3 linked regions of the Saccharomyces cerevisiae S288C genome follow. The gene in region 1 interacts genetically with each later gene. Each region holds a gene or a part of one and is shown on either strand. Other genes may lie near its edges.

Region 1 (5,618 bases):
TTTGCAGTAATTGTTTGGGAATAGGTGCCACTTTCATCTGGTTCACTAATTGTTGTTGTTGAGGAGTCAATTGACGCCTCTGTTGCTGCTGCTGCTGTTGTTGTTGTTGTTGTTGATTTCTTAATTGTTGCGCAACCTGTTGCCTTGCCTGAGCCTGCTGATTCAAGAACATCTGTGGGTTTAGATTCATATTGACATTCATATTATTGGCGCTGTTGCCAGAATTTTTCAAGTTGTTAATATGGTGCTGTTCCACGGGTTTAATGTTGTTATTAGCGGCAGCAGCAGTAACGGCGTTTTTCCTCGTATTGTACGTGTTGCGCATGACAGCAACTTTTTCGTTCATGCTGTCCATGTATTCTTTCTTTGAAGAGCTCTTTGCGAACAAAGCTGCCTCGAAGTTTTTGGCATGAATTCTTATCTTATCAGCAGTGTCGGAGCTCCCTCCGTTCAGAGTGTTAATGTCCATGAGCACCTGAAGCAACCCGTTGACGTTCTTCGCACGCTCGGCATTGGACAGAGTGTCTTTGTCTTGGACAGGAGCAGCAGACATAGCAGATTTAAAAGAAATAGCGTTTTAATCCTTGATCTTTGAGTACGGCACTATACGAAACGATACGCTTATAAAAATGGGGTTTAACTAACAAAGAAAAATATACCAGCACAAGTATATAGCAATGTCGTGGAAGTACTTCTTTGTGGAACCAGCTGTTTCCAGAGACAAATTCCTAGTCCTTGTGAATGGTTGACTATTAAAAGTTTGACTGTAAAGGTTAAGCACCTTCATCATCCTCATCCATAATATAATTTTCTGATCGACGCAACCGGGGCCGGGGTGGAAGGAAGGCCCGATTCGAAATAAAAAAGAGGCCGCCACAATGTAGGGTAATGCCTAATTATATTAACTAGAGACTGACTGAATCATATTACTTAGTTACTACTACTCTTATCATGCAAGAAGATGTGAAAAAGCGTCTTCCCCCAAATCATATAACTTCTGCACCATCCGTGGACTGTACAGGTTCAGCGGGGGAATATGTAATTGCTTGTTAGGATTGCTCTTGGGACCGTAGTATCGCGACAAGGAAGTCTGTGTAGTTCCACTTGATGTGGGCTGCCTCGCCGCTTCTTTTGCAGTCCCTAACCTTATATAGATGCGCACGCGCCAAAGCATGAGGGTACTCCATCATGTCTGTTGCACAAATATCGTAGGTTACTTGACGCTAACGTCATGTTTGATGCTCCGTTAACGAAGAGAATCGGAGCTCTTCATCTTAATCAGGCTCTTTTATAGCTCAATCATCAGTGGAAAAAATTCTTCGAACTAGAAAAAAATCAAGAAGTGAAAAAACTAAAACCGCCAACTGGCTACCCGGATAAGCCCCATAATGGCGTTCCTAGGGCTAGAAGAATTTCAAATCGATGACAGCTGATAGAAAGCGCCAGAGATATGTAGCCTTCCATCAGTAGTAATATCCAATAAATTGGGCACCATGGTTTGGCAATCAGGCTTTTTACCCTCGCCCTCTTTTCCTTCGCCTTTTACCTCTTCTGCATCCAATTTCAGCGTACGTACACAATGATTGACTTTGGAAATTTTCACTTTTTTCCACTCGAAGAAAAAAAATTCCAAACACGGTTCTCCGGTATTTAGGCATCGAATAAACTTTGCTAATCGACTAAAAGCATCTCTGCATATCTATACGTGTATATATTGTATTCGCTACAGCTCGCTCCTTGCATCAACTCTTTTTTTCTTTTTTTTCTTCCAGGTTAATCAATTACTGTACTGTAGCTTCTTTTTTATATTTTTTAGGTTTTCATATAGTGTCTTACGCAAATAGGCGGACCATAGAATGACTGTCACCATAAAAGAATTGACTAACCACAACTACATTGACCACGAACTATCAGCCACTTTAGACTCAACGGATGCGTTCGAGGGTCCCGAGAAGTTGCTGGAAATCTGGTTCTTCCCTCACAAGAAGTCCATCACGACCGAAAAGACATTAAGAAATATTGGCATGGATAGATGGATCGAGATTTTGAAATTAGTGAAATGCGAAGTTCTTTCCATGAAGAAGACTAAAGAACTGGATGCCTTTTTGTTGAGTGAGTCTTCCCTCTTCGTCTTCGATCACAAATTGACGATGAAGACGTGCGGTACTACAACCACATTGTTCTGTCTCGAAAAGCTTTTCCAGATCGTTGAGCAAGAGTTATCGTGGGCTTTCCGCACAACACAAGGGGGCAAGTACAAACCATTTAAAGTGTTTTATTCTAGACGATGTTTCCTTTTCCCCTGTAAGCAAGCCGCTATCCATCAAAACTGGGCTGACGAAGTCGACTATTTGAACAAATTTTTCGACAATGGTAAAAGTTATTCCGTGGGAAGAAATGACAAGAGCAACCACTGGAACCTGTACGTCACCGAGACGGACCGCTCCACACCTAAGGGAAAGGAGTACATCGAGGATGACGACGAAACTTTCGAAGTACTGATGACGGAGCTGGACCCAGAATGCGCTAGTAAGTTTGTTTGCGGGCCTGAGGCATCCACAACCGCTCTCGTGGAGCCAAACGAAGATAAGGGCCACAACCTCGGCTACCAAATGACTAAAAATACAAGGCTTGACGAAATATATGTCAACTCGGCCCAAGACTCCGATTTATCATTTCACCACGATGCATTTGCGTTCACGCCATGTGGATACTCATCCAATATGATTCTCGCTGAAAAATACTATTACACCCTGCACGTGACTCCGGAAAAGGGTTGGTCTTACGCCTCTTTCGAAAGTAACATACCCGTATTTGACATTTCCCAAGGGAAGCAAGACAACTTGGACGTTCTTCTACATATTCTGAACGTTTTTCAACCAAGAGAGTTCTCGATGACCTTTTTTACCAAAAATTATCAGAACCAATCCTTCCAAAAACTACTAAGCATCAACGAGTCACTGCCCGACTACATCAAGTTAGACAAAATTGTTTATGATCTGGACGACTACCACCTTTTCTATATGAAATTGCAGAAGAAAATATGAAAAGCCGCCATTTGTGTCTCCTCATACTTACATAGAATAGCCCTCTTCTATTATCCTTCGCTTGCTTTCTAGCACTCATAACTAATGTAGTTTAACCCGCTTGTATATCTTCTACATCATTACCCCGCATGCTTTTTTTTTTCCTCTAGAGAAAACCGGCACAGATTGGCCGGACCCGGAACAGGAAAAATGGCCACTGAAAATTCCTGGCCAGACCACCCCTGAGCTAAGGGAGTTTAGCCGCTCAAGCTTTTATTTCCTCTGATGTAATATATCACACACCCAGACACGGTTGCCAAGGCCTCGACGGAAGGCCGCTTCAAGGGACGGGGCAGTGGCTATCAGAAATACCTTAATATCATCAATATTTTTCATCAATCGCAAGGTGTCAAACATCAATAAAGGATGATGCTCAAAGGTTTATGCCCGATGTTCTTCTAATCCCCTTTCTCTCCTAAAATAATCCTTTTTTTACTCTTCTTCTTTTCCCCTGTTTCCATTTTTGTCTTTTCTCACCCCTTATGGGACATCAATAATGCAAGTATGTTTATACATTTTTATATAAATGTATATATAAATGCCATTTCTTACACATAACCTCCATTCTTTGGTTAATTCTTTCTTCATTCTTTTTTTTTTCATTCTGAAAAGCCCTCCAAGCAAGCACGCTAATTTAATATCGATTTAAACATGAAAGTATCACAAGTTTTCATTTCTGCCATCTCTGTCTTCGGCCTCGCTACTAGCGTAAATGCTCAAAACGCATCCAACACCACGAGTAACGCTGCTCCTGCTTTGCACGCTCAAAATGGTCAACTACTAAACGCCGGAGTCGTCGGTGCTGCTGTTGGTGGTGCTTTGGCCTTTTTGATTTAGGAAAAACGCCGCTTACTGCCACGATGATGATACCCTATTGACGTTTCTGAAATGTATAATTTCTTTTCTCATCTTCCCCTTTGATATTCCATCTATAGGCCCCAGAGTAGTAAATTTGGTGCTTTAATTTTTTTTCTCTTCTTCCAGTTCGTCTCTATTTTTTCATTCCATTATATTTATTTATCAGTTTTACTTTCTCAAATATTCTTATATAACACTATTTCATCTACGTAACCGAAAATAAGTAGTTTAATAACGATAATAATCATAATTGTGATAAAAATATTTACATTTTTCTTACTTGTCGCCCGCTTCGTTTTTGTATAGAACGTACTGTATTAGTTGTCCGTTCTTTTCACGTCTGAAGAGGTCGATTTCTTGCAATTTAACATCAACGTGGTATTTTCCATTATATACAATCAAAGAATCATCGTCCAGTTCGATTTCGCCATGAAACCAAAGGTGTAATGCATGTGAGTCCCCCTGCAGTGGGTATTCGTACTTGAACGACCCGTATACCCTCTCCGGCGATATAATCTCAAATAAATCGGCTGTTTCCAAACCAATGCGGTTCAGTAAATCGTCGATGGTTCCCCGTATACTTATTGGCCGATGCGTTATCCTCCATTTGCAAACAAAGGGTATTCTATACCAAGTGTGCGAACTATCCCTTTTATCGTCTGGCTCCATTACAATACCAGTTACACATGGATCTTGATCTTCGCACCACATGCTGAATTCATTTAACGTGGGTGAATTGCCATCTTTATCAAGCAATGGTACTCCGTATTGTTCCTTGATCATGTCATGACCGGATAATATCTCTAAAACCCTTAATTTAGAAAGCTTCTGTACTTGGTTTACGTCAACCTTTTTCAAATCTCTGGTACTCAGTTTACGTATCTTGGATGATGGAAACAATGGTAAGAAACTTTGTTCCTTTAAATATATCACTCTATAGATTAGTGAGTATCCTAATATCACACCGAATATACCACCAAATATGGCGGACCATATTTGCTTTCGGCGCTTGTTTCGCTGATGTGTTATTGCTTGACCAATGCTTCTCAAGTCCTCTCCTTTTATGTTAGGACTGTGTCCCTCTTCAATTTCCCCCAACTTCGTCTGTTGCTGTTGATGTGGCGTCGTAAAAAAATGCTTGCCATCATGGACATGCCTTTTCGACTCTGTCAATGAATTTCTTTTAGTTGTAATGCTTTTATTCAAGGTATTCAACCTTACATGACAATAGGTAGGCGCCTGGGTAAATAAGCATATACTTCTCGCGGACAGTAGAGATGTGTTAGCATTACGTAGAATCGCAAACCGTATCATTACCCCTTTTTCCTTCTTCTTGCAATTGAATACAGGAAACAGTTGCTTTGTCTTATGTTCGCTGCCACTCTTCTTTGGTTTTAATGCTTTGTTTCTCTCCTGCACTTGAATTTTATTGCTCGGAAAATGCTTCTTGCATAACCCCCACATAATTGGGCTGATTAACGTGACGCTAAAAAAATACCAATAGCAGTCCCAAAAAAAAAAAAAAAAAGATTCACATATGTATTGATTTTACTTTACGAAATTCTTGACCTATTTATATCATAAACGAGTGCTTATATTTCCGATCCTACTATCGCTTAAAAATCTTAATGTAATAAGGATAGAAAGGAAATTTTTTAAAAACATACATAAAAG
Region 2 (5,615 bases), on another chromosome or scaffold:
GAATACTTGCGTGAATCAGATTGGTATGATTATGAGGATTATATAGACTTGAATCAAGTGCCGCTTGGTTCCTCACTTCCATTAAAATTAGAAGCAATACCATTGCTATACTCTCCTAGAATATCCTACTTTAGAAAAATAAATGATGATGGTTACGTACTAGCTTACCCATTTGGTACCGAAGAATCTCACAATTGTCTGATTGGCAAGAATCATCCAGAATTGACGCAGGAGAAATTAGCAACTGAAAGAAAACGAGAAATAGAAGAACAACTAAAATTATTACATATTACGTTAAGCGAATTGCAATCGAACAAAGGCGGAGGTTCGGTAAGTGGAAATTCGGAGCGCTATGCACGCGAATTAAAAGCAGAGGTAGCTGAATTAAACCACAGATTGCACACAGTCAACACCATCTTGAGCGATTTAAAAATCTCGGAGACTATTCCTGGAGGAAATACTGATGGTGATAGCTCCAGCTCACTCTCCGATACTGATGTAAATTTGGAAAATGCACCGCCAATTCAAAATAGAATATCGCTATTGAGGACCAATACCGTGGAGTCTTTTGTATCAATGAGAAAAGCCTCTACTATGCAGGTTGAGTCCACCTATGATAACCGTTTCATGGTCCATAATATCGAGTTAAAAATCGATAATAAAATCAGGCATCACCTTTTGGAATACGCTTCCAGTGCTTTCGAAAGGAAATCTATGAGGTTTGCTGTGACTTATAAATCCGTAACTATTTTAAAAGAATTACTGGGAAATGTGTTGACTGGGGTCAGAACATCTGTAGAAGATTATGGTTCAATACTTGAGGACGATTTAGCCAGTAATTCAGAATTTATTGAGCACTTTGAGAAACTCATCAGAGAAGTTCCGAGTGATGACTTTGATTATGTTGATAATTATCTTTTTAGACTAATCTCCCCTCAGGTTCAGATCAAATCGGACGTTGAAAGGAACGCAGCAGTTATTTTAGCTGCTAGGGATATAGAAATGGGAATAATTGATATAGTTCAAGTGTATGGAAAATCAGGAAAAAGAATTCCCGTTGACGTCGATACTATTGTTGAAACTCGCTATTCCGCTGTTTCAAAGGACATTCAGTTGTTTACATTGTTCAAAAAGGATTTAGAGGGTCCTGAAGGTAGATTTTTCCATAAAAATGGATATGGTTCCGACAAAGAGTCAGATATATGGCCCCCATGGATTCCTCTTGAAATGTGCTTTGACGGGTCTTTATTAGATAAGCATGTTTTTCTAAAACGGAGATCAATGTTTTTGACCTACGTCGCTCCCAATCCCCTATTTTTTAGTGCAAATGATACGTCTGCATTCTCTTATGATTCGAGATTTCGTATTGCATTTCCAGGATTGGTTCTGACCTCGGACTGTCAACAATACTGCGCTGTATATGCAATCGCAGAAGATTTACTTTCCTTTGGATCATCATTGGATGAAAAAGTTGAGAAACTTTCCAGGATATTATTTACTGATGAGGTCAGAAATAACCTGGAAAATCTTGATGTCTCTGTTGTCACAGCATTACAAGAAAGAATAAAGGAACTCTATTATACGCGAGCATACCTCAAACTTCACGAGCCAAGATTGTTTATGAAATCAGGACAAGAGCTAACCTTCGATATTCAAACTAGTACGTTGAAGTTGACGTTACTTATGACGGCAATCAAGAAAACTTACGACCGGATGGGGAGTGGTAATAGAGTAATACAGAAAAGATTGAGGTGGCAAGTTGGAACAGATGAATTGATATGGGAATTGTACGATGAGAGTAAAACTCCTTTCGTGACTATCGGATTGGGGCCCTCTACATTTATTCGTTCAGAAACTTCCGATGGCACTAATAGTAATAAAGTATCCATTTCTTCCTTACAATGTTTCAACCAGCAAGAAAATCCCGTTTACACTGAATTGCTGGCCCCCTTTTATGAAAATTCATCCTATAATAAGAACGCGCCAATGGTAGAAATTTTTTGGATCCTGGGGCCATCAGTTGGAGGTATTTCAGATCTGCAAGATTTGATTGTTTCTCTACAGCCATTGATTTTCAAGATGGATCACAAAACATCGGAAAAACTAATGAATTATCTATTTCCAAAGATAGAACAAACTTCCATAGAACCCAATTCTCCAGAACTTGTACCACGTTCTTCCACTAGTTCCTTCTTTTCATCGTCTCCAGTTTTACGGCACAGTCTTTCTAACGGTTCTTTATCTGTGTACGATGCGAAAGACGTTGACTCTTGGGACTTGCGTAGTATCCAGAGCAAAGAAGGTATCAAAAAGCATAAGGGTGATCATAGAAAATTGTCAGCATCACTTTTTGTGCAACCTGATTATAACATCAATGAAATGGTCAAAAGATCAGGGACATTTTTCAATGTAAAATCTATTATAATCCGAAAAACTCTAATGTCCGTGTGTTATAAGGGTTCACACAGCCTTTTGACCGATGTTAATAACCTGATTGTTAGAGTCCCTGTTTTAAAGTACCATAACAAACTGTGGTCGAGGGAAGAATTTTTTACTGCTTTGAAAAGAGACGTCGTAAGAATAGTTTTACAACATTTGGGAAATATTATTGGTAACAAATTTTTGCCTCATAAAAAAGAGAATAAGAAAAAAACTTCTATGGAAATACATCGATTACTAAGTCCAGATTCTCAAAATCGTGATAATTCACATATCCTTGAAGTCGAAGGGCATAATTCATTTTATAGCTCCACGCACTCTTCAGATATCAGATCAATAAACTCAGATGAAACGTATAATGAAAATGATGGAAATGGAGTAAAGCCATTTTACCCTGTTACGAGTGAGTTTTCAAAAAATAAATGAGGAAACACACACATGTGTCTAGCGTAAATATTCTTCAGTTATATAGTAATTGTATTATATACTAAAATGAAAATCAGTAAGATTTTTTTTTTACAGGCCTTCTTGGCGTTAGTTTTTCCGGTTTTTCACTTACTAAGATGAGATGATGGGGCGCACGGCCAAAGTATTCCCCATTCATCAATTTAGCATGCTAGAATAAAAAGATTAAGAGCAATATCTACGACCGACAAAGTGATCTATCAAACTGCTGACAAAAAATGTCGTTGGAAGCCATCGTCTTTGATAGATCGGAGCCAGAAAATGTTTCGGTAAAGGTACTTGATCAATTACTTTTACCATATACTACTAAATACGTTCCAATTCACACAATTGATGATGGGTACTCAGTCATCAAAAGTATGCAGGTGAGAGGTGCCCCGGCAATTGCAATTGTGGGTTCGTTATCTGTTTTGACTGAGGTACAATTAATAAAACACAACCCAACTTCTGATGTTGCTACGCTGTATTCTTTAGTTAACTGGGAATCTACAAAAACAGTGCTAAATAAGAGGCTAGATTTCCTTTTGAGTAGTAGACCCACAGCCGTTAATTTATCAAATTCTCTTGTAGAGATAAAGAACATACTGAAATCCTCAAGTGACCTAAAGGCTTTTGACGGTAGTTTATATAATTACGTCTGTGAATTGATAGATGAGGATTTGGCGAATAACATGAAAATGGGTGATAATGGAGCTAAGTATTTGATTGACGTGTTACAAAAGGACGGTTTCAAGGACGAATTTGCCGTTCTGACGATTTGTAATACTGGATCCTTAGCAACCTCTGGATATGGCACGGCTTTAGGTGTTATCCGTTCTTTGTGGAAGGATTCACTTGCTAAAACCGACAAGGCAGACTCGGGATTGGACAATGAAAAATGCCCGAGGATGGGCCATGTCTTCCCACTGGAAACTAGACCTTATAATCAAGGGTCAAGGCTAACAGCATACGAGCTAGTTTATGATAAGATTCCATCAACTTTAATTACTGATAGTTCCATCGCGTATAGAATTAGAACTAGTCCAATTCCAATCAAAGCAGCATTTGTTGGAGCTGATAGAATTGTTCGTAATGGGGATACAGCAAATAAAATTGGTACTTTACAACTTGCTGTAATTTGTAAGCAGTTCGGAATTAAGTTTTTTGTAGTAGCTCCCAAAACAACTATCGATAATGTAACCGAAACTGGCGATGACATTATTGTGGAAGAACGTAACCCTGAGGAATTCAAGGTTGTTACTGGTACAGTAATTAATCCTGAAAATGGTTCCTTGATATTGAATGAGTCAGGAGAGCCAATCACTGGAAAGGTCGGTATTGCCCCTCTTGAAATCAATGTCTGGAATCCAGCCTTCGACATTACTCCACATGAGCTTATTGACGGAATTATCACAGAAGAAGGTGTATTTACCAAAAATTCCAGTGGTGAATTTCAACTGGAAAGCCTTTTCTAGATATCATTCTAATTAGACTCTCGAAATAATTACTTTTGTACTGTAAAGGATAAAATTTCATATTGAGATGTAAGAATTATTTTTTTTTTTCATTCAATAAAAGGAACACATTAATGTATATTGTCAGAACCTTGTAAGTCCAAAACACTATAACCAACTGATACAATATGTATTGTCTTTGTTTCTGCATATTTGTAAAACGTGCAAAAAAGTAAAGAACTCCTCATAGGGGGCTCGAACCCCTGACATTTCGGTATCCTTGCTTAAGCAAATGCGCTTAAAAGCCGAACGCTCTACCAACTGAGCTAACAAGGATGAGTTCTTCGGAGCGTGTTGTATCTCAAAATGAGATATGTCAGTATGACAATACGTCATCCTGAACGTTCATAAAACACATATGAAACAACCTTATAACAAAACGAACAACATGAGACAAAACCCGTCCTTCCCTAGCTGAACTACCCAAAAGTATAAATGCCTGAACAATTAGTTTAGATCCGAGATTCCGCGTTTCCACCACTTAGTATGATTCATATTTTATATAGTATATAAGATAAGTAACATTCCGTGAATTAATCTGATAAACTGTTTTAACAACTGGTTACTTCCCTAAGACTGTTTATATTAGGATTGTCAAGACACTCCGGTATTACTCGAGCCCGTAATACAACAGAGCGTCCTTAATAAATATTTCTATAAATATTTGATGTTTACCTTCCGAAAAAGGTACATTGCCAACCTTATTTGATAAATGTGTAAACTAAGATAAGTGTTGAGATCGGATTTTGATAAAGGCATTTGTTTGGGGTGTATGAGTTGGGAAAAGAAACAACAATCATCTCTTGACCAGTTTTCCTACTACTAGTGTGTTATCATATAGCGTAAGAGTATGACATAGAGATTGAGAAACAGAAACTGAATCATAACGAACATCACAGAATTTACATTTCTACACAATTTTCAGAAAAAGTGGAGTGGTGATATATGCTTATTGTTCTACAAGTTCTCTTCATGCGTTTTTGTTTATCTATCTTATTGAATTATTATCTTCATGCATTTATACTTATTAAATTCGATGAACATTTCATATTATTTTTATATGCTTCATAATTCATGTTACTACGATCTATACAGAGTATTATCGTAATGTCTTACCTTTAGCTTGTCACTTAACACATGCACTGCATTTCGAAAAGATGCTTAAGCAAGTTTATCATAATTTGGGAGTGTTCGGTGAATTTATACAGAAAGCCCCTC
Region 3 (6,770 bases), 160 kb from region 1:
TTTCACAGGAGGATAATAATTATGGGTTAGTTGAATATCAAGAAGATGATTCAGTACAGCTCTTAGCAGATTTTGAGAAGCTTAAATCGCACTACCAAAACATTGAGTTTCCTTCTATGAAGACTTTAAAGGAAACTGTTCAGATGGAGGAGACGCCATCATGTGCGGAAGATTATGAAAATTTGAAGATTGAATCTAAAATTGCTAAAAATTTAGGAAGTTCTTTGATAAAAAAAGGCGTGAAAGTTGAAAAAGGCAAATACATAGATATTCACGAGGATCAGCTGTCCACCAATGTCACGATTTTAGACAAGCATGGTGACAGATGGAATGGGCCCAAAAAGATTGAAATTAGGCAAAGCCTGACATTGGCAGACCTGGAAGGAGAAGAACAAGAAGACGCAGATGAAGACAAAGATGATTTAAAACGAAAACACCGGAATTCTGCCTCTATTTCCGGCCCATTGTTACCTCTTGGGTTGTGTTTGCTTTTTTTTACTTTTAGTTTATTTTTTTAGACTTTAATGTCGTTCTCCCTTTTTAAAGAGTAAATACATATTTAAAAAAGTGACTATGGCTATTGCTAAACGTGATAAAAATCAGAGCCTATAACACTCTCTGAAATAACGCTATGCAGGAATTTCCAGTTAAGTTCTTCTTGGGGTGACTTCTTTACTCGGTATGATATGTGTTTTATATGCACAGTACGAGTCCATTAGGGTAAATTAGTGGCCGAGAAACTTTTGCCGCCGAGCTTTTAAGTATCCTTTTGCCACTTCTTATTTAGATAAAGACCTGGCAGTAGTAGTCGTAGAAGATAAGATAGACAGAGAATGAATACTAATAAGATAGCACAAGACGAAGTCCAAGATAAGGTTTTGCAAAGAGCAGAACTAGCACATTCTGTATGGAACTTAAGGTTCAACCTCAGTAAAGTTGCCAAACGGATTCGCATGGAAACAAAGGTATTTCCAGAGATAAAGATAAATGACGCGCAATCACAGTTAGAGCGATCTAGGTGTAGAATATTTAGCCCTGACCTGGAGGAAGAACATGTGCCCTTGATTCAAGGCTTTAAATGTTTGGATTCACCCCCTCCCGTTCCACCAAGCTCATCGCAGGGGGAGGATGAAGAGAACACGGTAGATTCGCAATACTAGGAAATTAGAACCGAATCAAAATAGTTCCGATCCTAACTTTTCTACTAATCTTTGAGATTTTATCTCATTAACTCTTTGACCAAGCTATGAAATGCGTAAGATGAACTTTTGTTTGAGAGTGTTAAGTATTTAGGCGTCTACGCTATGATAGCCTCACTCTAGGACGACTGCTTTTTTGGAACAACTTGTTGTTCTCCGATGGTATATTGTGTGTTTATGTATTGTTCTACGTACTCCTCCGTCTCTTTTTCGAGGGCAACGCTTTGAACTAGTATTTTCCGTTATAGTATGTCCCCCCTATATGCAACCCCTTGAATGGACGAATCTCTAAAATATACAACCTTTTCCTCTATAGGAAACAAGTAGGGTCTTCTACGCTAAGGATTACATAACGCATGTATCAAAAACTGATTTTAATTGATTAATTTCAAAATGTCAGCGTAGGTTCACCTAGACTTGTTTTATAGCTCCATTCAACTGGCGGTAGACACAACTAAAGCCAAAAATTGCCTAAAAATTTCAGTACTCTGGCAGCATCTACTCATTTAATTGCCGTAATACATGGGACTCAATGATCCTTAATATGCTAAATGCTACCCCTCCTTTTTTCTTTTTTATTCCTCATAAAATTGCAAATATCGCAAGCACGTTTTTACTCAGCCCGTCCGCTTTGAGATACAAAAACGATATCTGAAATTAAAATTTTCTCTGGAACATGGTCCATCGAACTAATTATGCATAATAACGTACGTTCCTATCCTATGAACACTTTTCTTTTTCTGGATAAACTGACTTAACAGTAGAAAACGTAGTGTGCAAGGCCATCCTTCAATATAGACTCAAAATTAGAAAGAGTGCCCTGATTAGTTGAGTTTTTCCTTCTATAAGCAAGAAAAATATCATCCTGACAAGAGACAGGTATTATATAAAATATTTCTACATGGAAGTATACTGTTAGTTGAACATAAATTCAACAAAAGGATACCATTACTTCTTCTCAAAGATCATCGAATATTGCTAGAAAGCGTAAAAGCATTTTACCATGTCATCATCCTCAAGTTCATCAGAGTCATCGCCTAATTTATCGCGGTCAAACTCACTGGCTAACACGATGGTTTCCATGAAAACAGAAGACCATACGGGATTGTACGACCATAGGCAGCACCCTGACTCACTGCCGGTCCGTCACCAACCTCCAACATTGAAGAACAAGGAAATTGCTAAGTCCACTAAACCTTCTATTCCTAAGGAGCAGAAGAGTGCAACGAGATACAACAGCCATGTGGATGTGGGAAGCGTACCCAGTAGGGGCCGCATGGATTTTGAAGATGAAGGGCAGGGTATGGATGAAACGGTTGCTCATCATCAATTGAGGGCATCTGCCATTTTAACTTCTAACGCGAGGCCTTCCAGACTAGCCCACTCCATGCCACATCAAAGGCAGCTTTATGTGGAAAGTAATATACACACACCACCAAAGGATGTAGGTGTAAAGAGAGACTATACTATGTCATCTTCTACTGCATCATCAGGTAACAAATCCAAGCTGAGCGCATCTTCCTCGGCAAGTCCTATTACGAAGGTTAGAAAATCTTCGCTGGTCAGTCCTGTTCTTGAGATCCCACACGAATCGAAATCTGATACACACTCCAAGCTGGCTAAACCCAAGAAGAGGACATATTCTACCACATCTGCGCATTCATCTATCAATCCCGCAGTTTTACTGACGAAAAGCACATCCCAAAAATCGGATGCAGATGATGATACATTGGAAAGAAAACCAGTACGTATGAATACTAGAGCTTCTTTTGATAGTGACGTATCACAGGCGTCGAGAGATTCTCAAGAGACGGAAGAAGATGTTTGTTTCCCTATGCCACCACAATTGCATACCAGAGTTAACGGTATAGATTTCGATGAACTGGAAGAGTACGCTCAGTTTGCAAACGCGGAGAAGAGTCAATTTTTGGCAAGTCTGCAAGTGCCCAACGAACAGAAGTACAGTAACGTTTCTCAGGATATCGGGTTTACCAGCTCTACTTCCACTTCGGGATCATCAGCTGCCCTAAAATATACACCAAGAGTTTCGCAGACTGGTGAAAAGAGCGAGAGTACCAATGAAACAGAAATCCATGAAAAGAAGGAAGACGAGCATGAGAAAATCAAGCCTAGTTTACACCCTGGTATATCTTTCGGTAAAAATAAAGTTGAAGGGGAAGAGAATGAAAACATTCCATCCAATGACCCGGCGTATTGCTCTTACCAGGGTACAGACTTTCAAATTCCTAATAGATTTTCTTTTTTCTGTTCCGAATCTGATGAAACCGTTCATGCTAGTGATATCCCTTCCTTAGTGTCTGAGGGACAAACATTCTATGAATTATTCAGGGGAGGTGAGCCAACATGGTGGTTAGATTGTAGTTGTCCAACTGATGATGAAATGCGTTGCATAGCAAAGGCGTTTGGTATCCATCCATTGACTGCAGAAGATATCAGAATGCAAGAAACACGTGAAAAGGTGGAACTTTTCAAATCGTATTACTTCGTTTGTTTCCATACCTTTGAAAATGATAAAGAATCAGAGGATTTCCTGGAACCTATTAACGTTTACATTGTTGTCTGTAGGTCAGGTGTTTTAACATTCCATTTTGGCCCAATATCTCATTGTGCTAATGTCAGAAGGCGTGTAAGACAGTTACGTGACTATGTCAATGTCAATTCAGATTGGTTATGTTATGCTTTAATCGATGACATTACTGATAGTTTCGCTCCTGTAATTCAATCTATTGAATATGAAGCAGATGCAATCGAAGATTCTGTGTTCATGGCTCGTGACATGGATTTTGCAGCAATGTTACAAAGAATTGGTGAAAGTAGGCGTAAGACAATGACGTTGATGAGACTTCTTAGTGGTAAGGCTGATGTTATCAAAATGTTTGCCAAAAGATGCCAAGATGAAGCTAATGGTATTGGACCGGCACTAACATCTCAAATAAATATTGCTAACTTACAGGCAAGGCAGGATAACGCCAGTCATATCAAAAATAATAGTTCGACAACTGTACCAAATAATTATGCGCCCACCACATCACAACCGAGGGGGGATATCGCCCTATACTTGGGTGATATTCAAGATCATTTGTTGACAATGTTTCAAAATTTGCTGGCGTACGAAAAAATTTTTTCTAGATCCCATACAAACTACTTAGCTCAACTGCAAGTGGAATCATTTAATTCTAATAATAAAGTGACAGAAATGTTGGGTAAAGTCACCATGATAGGTACAATGCTAGTTCCATTAAATGTTATCACTGGTCTTTTCGGTATGAATGTTAAAGTTCCGGGGGAGAATTCCAGTATCGCGTGGTGGTTTGGGATATTGGGTGTGCTGCTTTTGCTGGCCGTCCTTGGTTGGTTCTTGGCCAGCTATTGGATTAAAAGAATAGACCCTCCTGCAACACTTAACGAGGCCGCTGAAAGTGGAGCCAAATCGGTTATTTCGAGCTTCTTGCCAAAAAGAAACAAGAGATTCAATGATCGTTCCAAAAATATAAATGTAAGAGCCGGTCCTTCAAACAAATCAGTTGCAAGTCTTCCTAGTAGATATAGCCGCTACGACTGATTAGTGATGTGATAAAGATAGAAGATTTAAGTCACAGAGGCGTGCATCTACGATTTTGGCGTTTCACATTTTTTACACTTAAATTTTAGTGATCTAGCCGTGACCTTGGCAGCAGTTTCCAAAATCATTCCATGACCATGTCATGCTTAAGAACGTTAGACCCAGAACAAGTGGACCTGTATTCTAACTCTTCACTCTTGGGCAAAGATAATAGTATTATCTTTTACCCCATTTTTTGTATGTTTTTTCGTTTATTGAGTTTGGCGTTTCCTATTTAGAAATAGTACAATCCGGTCAATCATTCGATAGTGAAATATATATATTTAACTAGGAAAATTAGTAAAACCTCATTTAAAGATCATTCACCTTGATATATACTACTATTGACCTTTTGTTAATGACCATTTTCGTAAAAATGAACTGCGATTCTCTTCTGGAATTTGTTACCCTACCTTATTCACTAAATCAGAAATAATAATGTGCAGCGCCCCTTTCATAAAGAAGGCAAGTATAGGGCATATAGTTAAAGGTCAGAACTCTTTATCCCCAACTACAAGATCAATTAGAAAATCACATCATCATGGAGGCAGATGATCATGTTAGCTTATTTCGCTTCCCCTTCAAGATTCCCACCTTTCGTGGTATAAGAAAAGGTGGGGTCTATCTTTCAGGTGCTCTCTATGCTCTAGGCTTTTGGATATTTCTAGACGCAGTGCTCTATTCTAGATATTCCAATGCATCAGATGTTCATGTTACGTTCATTGACTGGATTCCTTTTCTTTGCAGCACACTGGGAACATTGATTGTGAATTCTATTGAAAAGAATAGATTATTGCAGGGAGCTTTATCGTCAGATGGTGGTGCCTTCGGTAGTGGTGTAGGCGATTTAGATTCAAGCATGGCATGGCAAGCTCGAACCGTTTTATTTTTTGGCTTTGCTTTATTAGCTGGTGGGCTATCAGGCTCCATTGTCGTGTTGATCATCAAATTTTTAGTCAAGGATTACAATACCTATCCAACTTTGGGGATGGGAGTAAACAATGTGTTGGGGAATGTATGCATATTATTGAGTTGCGTTGTTTTATGGATAGCCCAAAATGTTGAAGATGAATATTCATATTCTTTGACGCTCTAAGTTAAGTTGACCAATATTTTCGAGGCCAATTAAGGCGATCTGATTTAGATAAAAAACGTATATATGTATTTATCAACACTTTTTCGAAAACAAAAAGATTTTTAGATAGGAGTATGTACATTCCAATATATTTGTAATGTTTCACATAAAAGGACAGTCTGAGAAAAAATGCAAGTAATGTGGTAAGAAGGAAACATAAGATGACGGCAAATGCAAAAATGAGGTAAGAATCAGCAACTAATCCAGAGATGGCACAATCAAGTTGTAATACTCTCCAAGAGCCCTTTTCTCCGATGCACTAAAATTAAAGAGGTCTGGTAGGTGAACCGGCATACTCGAACCTCTTGGCAAAAAATAGGTTTCATTTCTTAACGCGTCAAAAAATTCGTGAGCCATCAATTGTCTAGCATCGCACCTTTCAGTGGCATCATACGTCAACACCTTTAGCAAGAATTCCACATCAAAAAATTCTATAGAGGGAAACCAATGCATAAACTTCTTGAATTTTTGGTCATTTAAGCTATCCTGTAACTCTTGAGAATTTTTTATAGAACTTTTAGGAAAGCGGCCTAATAGTTTAGCTATCTCCTCCAGTTGTGAGTTAGCGCTATCGCCTTTAAAAAGTGGCTGGCCTTTTATCATTTCGCCTATTATACAACCAAGCGACCATATATCTATTTGAGTTGTATAATCCTTCGAATTTAGGAGAAGTTCAGGTGCTCTATAAAACCTCGAGCAAAAATAGGTCTTCAATTCTGTATTATCATCCAGTCGCTGTGCCGAGCCAAAGTCACACACTTTAGCAATACCGCTACTTGGTATAATCAATATATTGCTCGGTTTCAGATCGCCA

The links.
Region 2: of SPE2 (region 1) and MRI1, changing one enhances a phenotype caused by changing the other (phenotypic enhancement), as found in Saccharomyces cerevisiae (one study listed by BioGRID).
Region 3: mutations in SPE2 (region 1) and ALR1 impair growth when combined (synthetic growth defect), as found in Saccharomyces cerevisiae (one study listed by BioGRID).

Annotation. Positions count from the first base shown.
Region 1 is NC_001147.6:229,875-235,492, reverse strand, and holds SPE2 (adenosylmethionine decarboxylase SPE2), read left to right. Parts: upstream 1-1,856; coding exon 1,857-3,047; downstream 3,048-5,618. Other genes in the region: GAL11 (Gal11p), read right to left, coding at 1-553; DDR2 (Ddr2p), read left to right, coding at 3,738-3,923; AIM39 (Aim39p), read right to left, coding at 4,221-5,408.
Region 2 is NC_001148.4:764,630-770,244, forward strand, and holds MRI1 (S-methyl-5-thioribose-1-phosphate isomerase MRI1), read left to right. Parts: upstream 1-3,122; coding exon 3,123-4,358; downstream 4,359-5,615. Other genes in the region: HOB2 (Hob2p), read left to right, coding at 1-2,865. UniProt on the Saccharomyces cerevisiae protein: Catalyzes the interconversion of methylthioribose-1-phosphate (MTR-1-P) into methylthioribulose-1-phosphate (MTRu-1-P).
Region 3 is NC_001147.6:72,198-78,967, forward strand, and holds ALR1 (Mg(2+) transporter ALR1), read left to right. Parts: upstream 1-2,202; coding exon 2,203-4,782; downstream 4,783-6,770. Other genes in the region: GAS4 (1,3-beta-glucanosyltransferase), read left to right, coding at 1-518; YOL131W (uncharacterized protein), read left to right, coding at 834-1,160; VPS68 (Vps68p), read left to right, coding at 5,363-5,917; serine/threonine protein kinase YGK3, read right to left, coding at 6,155-6,770. UniProt on the Saccharomyces cerevisiae protein: Plasma membrane magnesium transporter.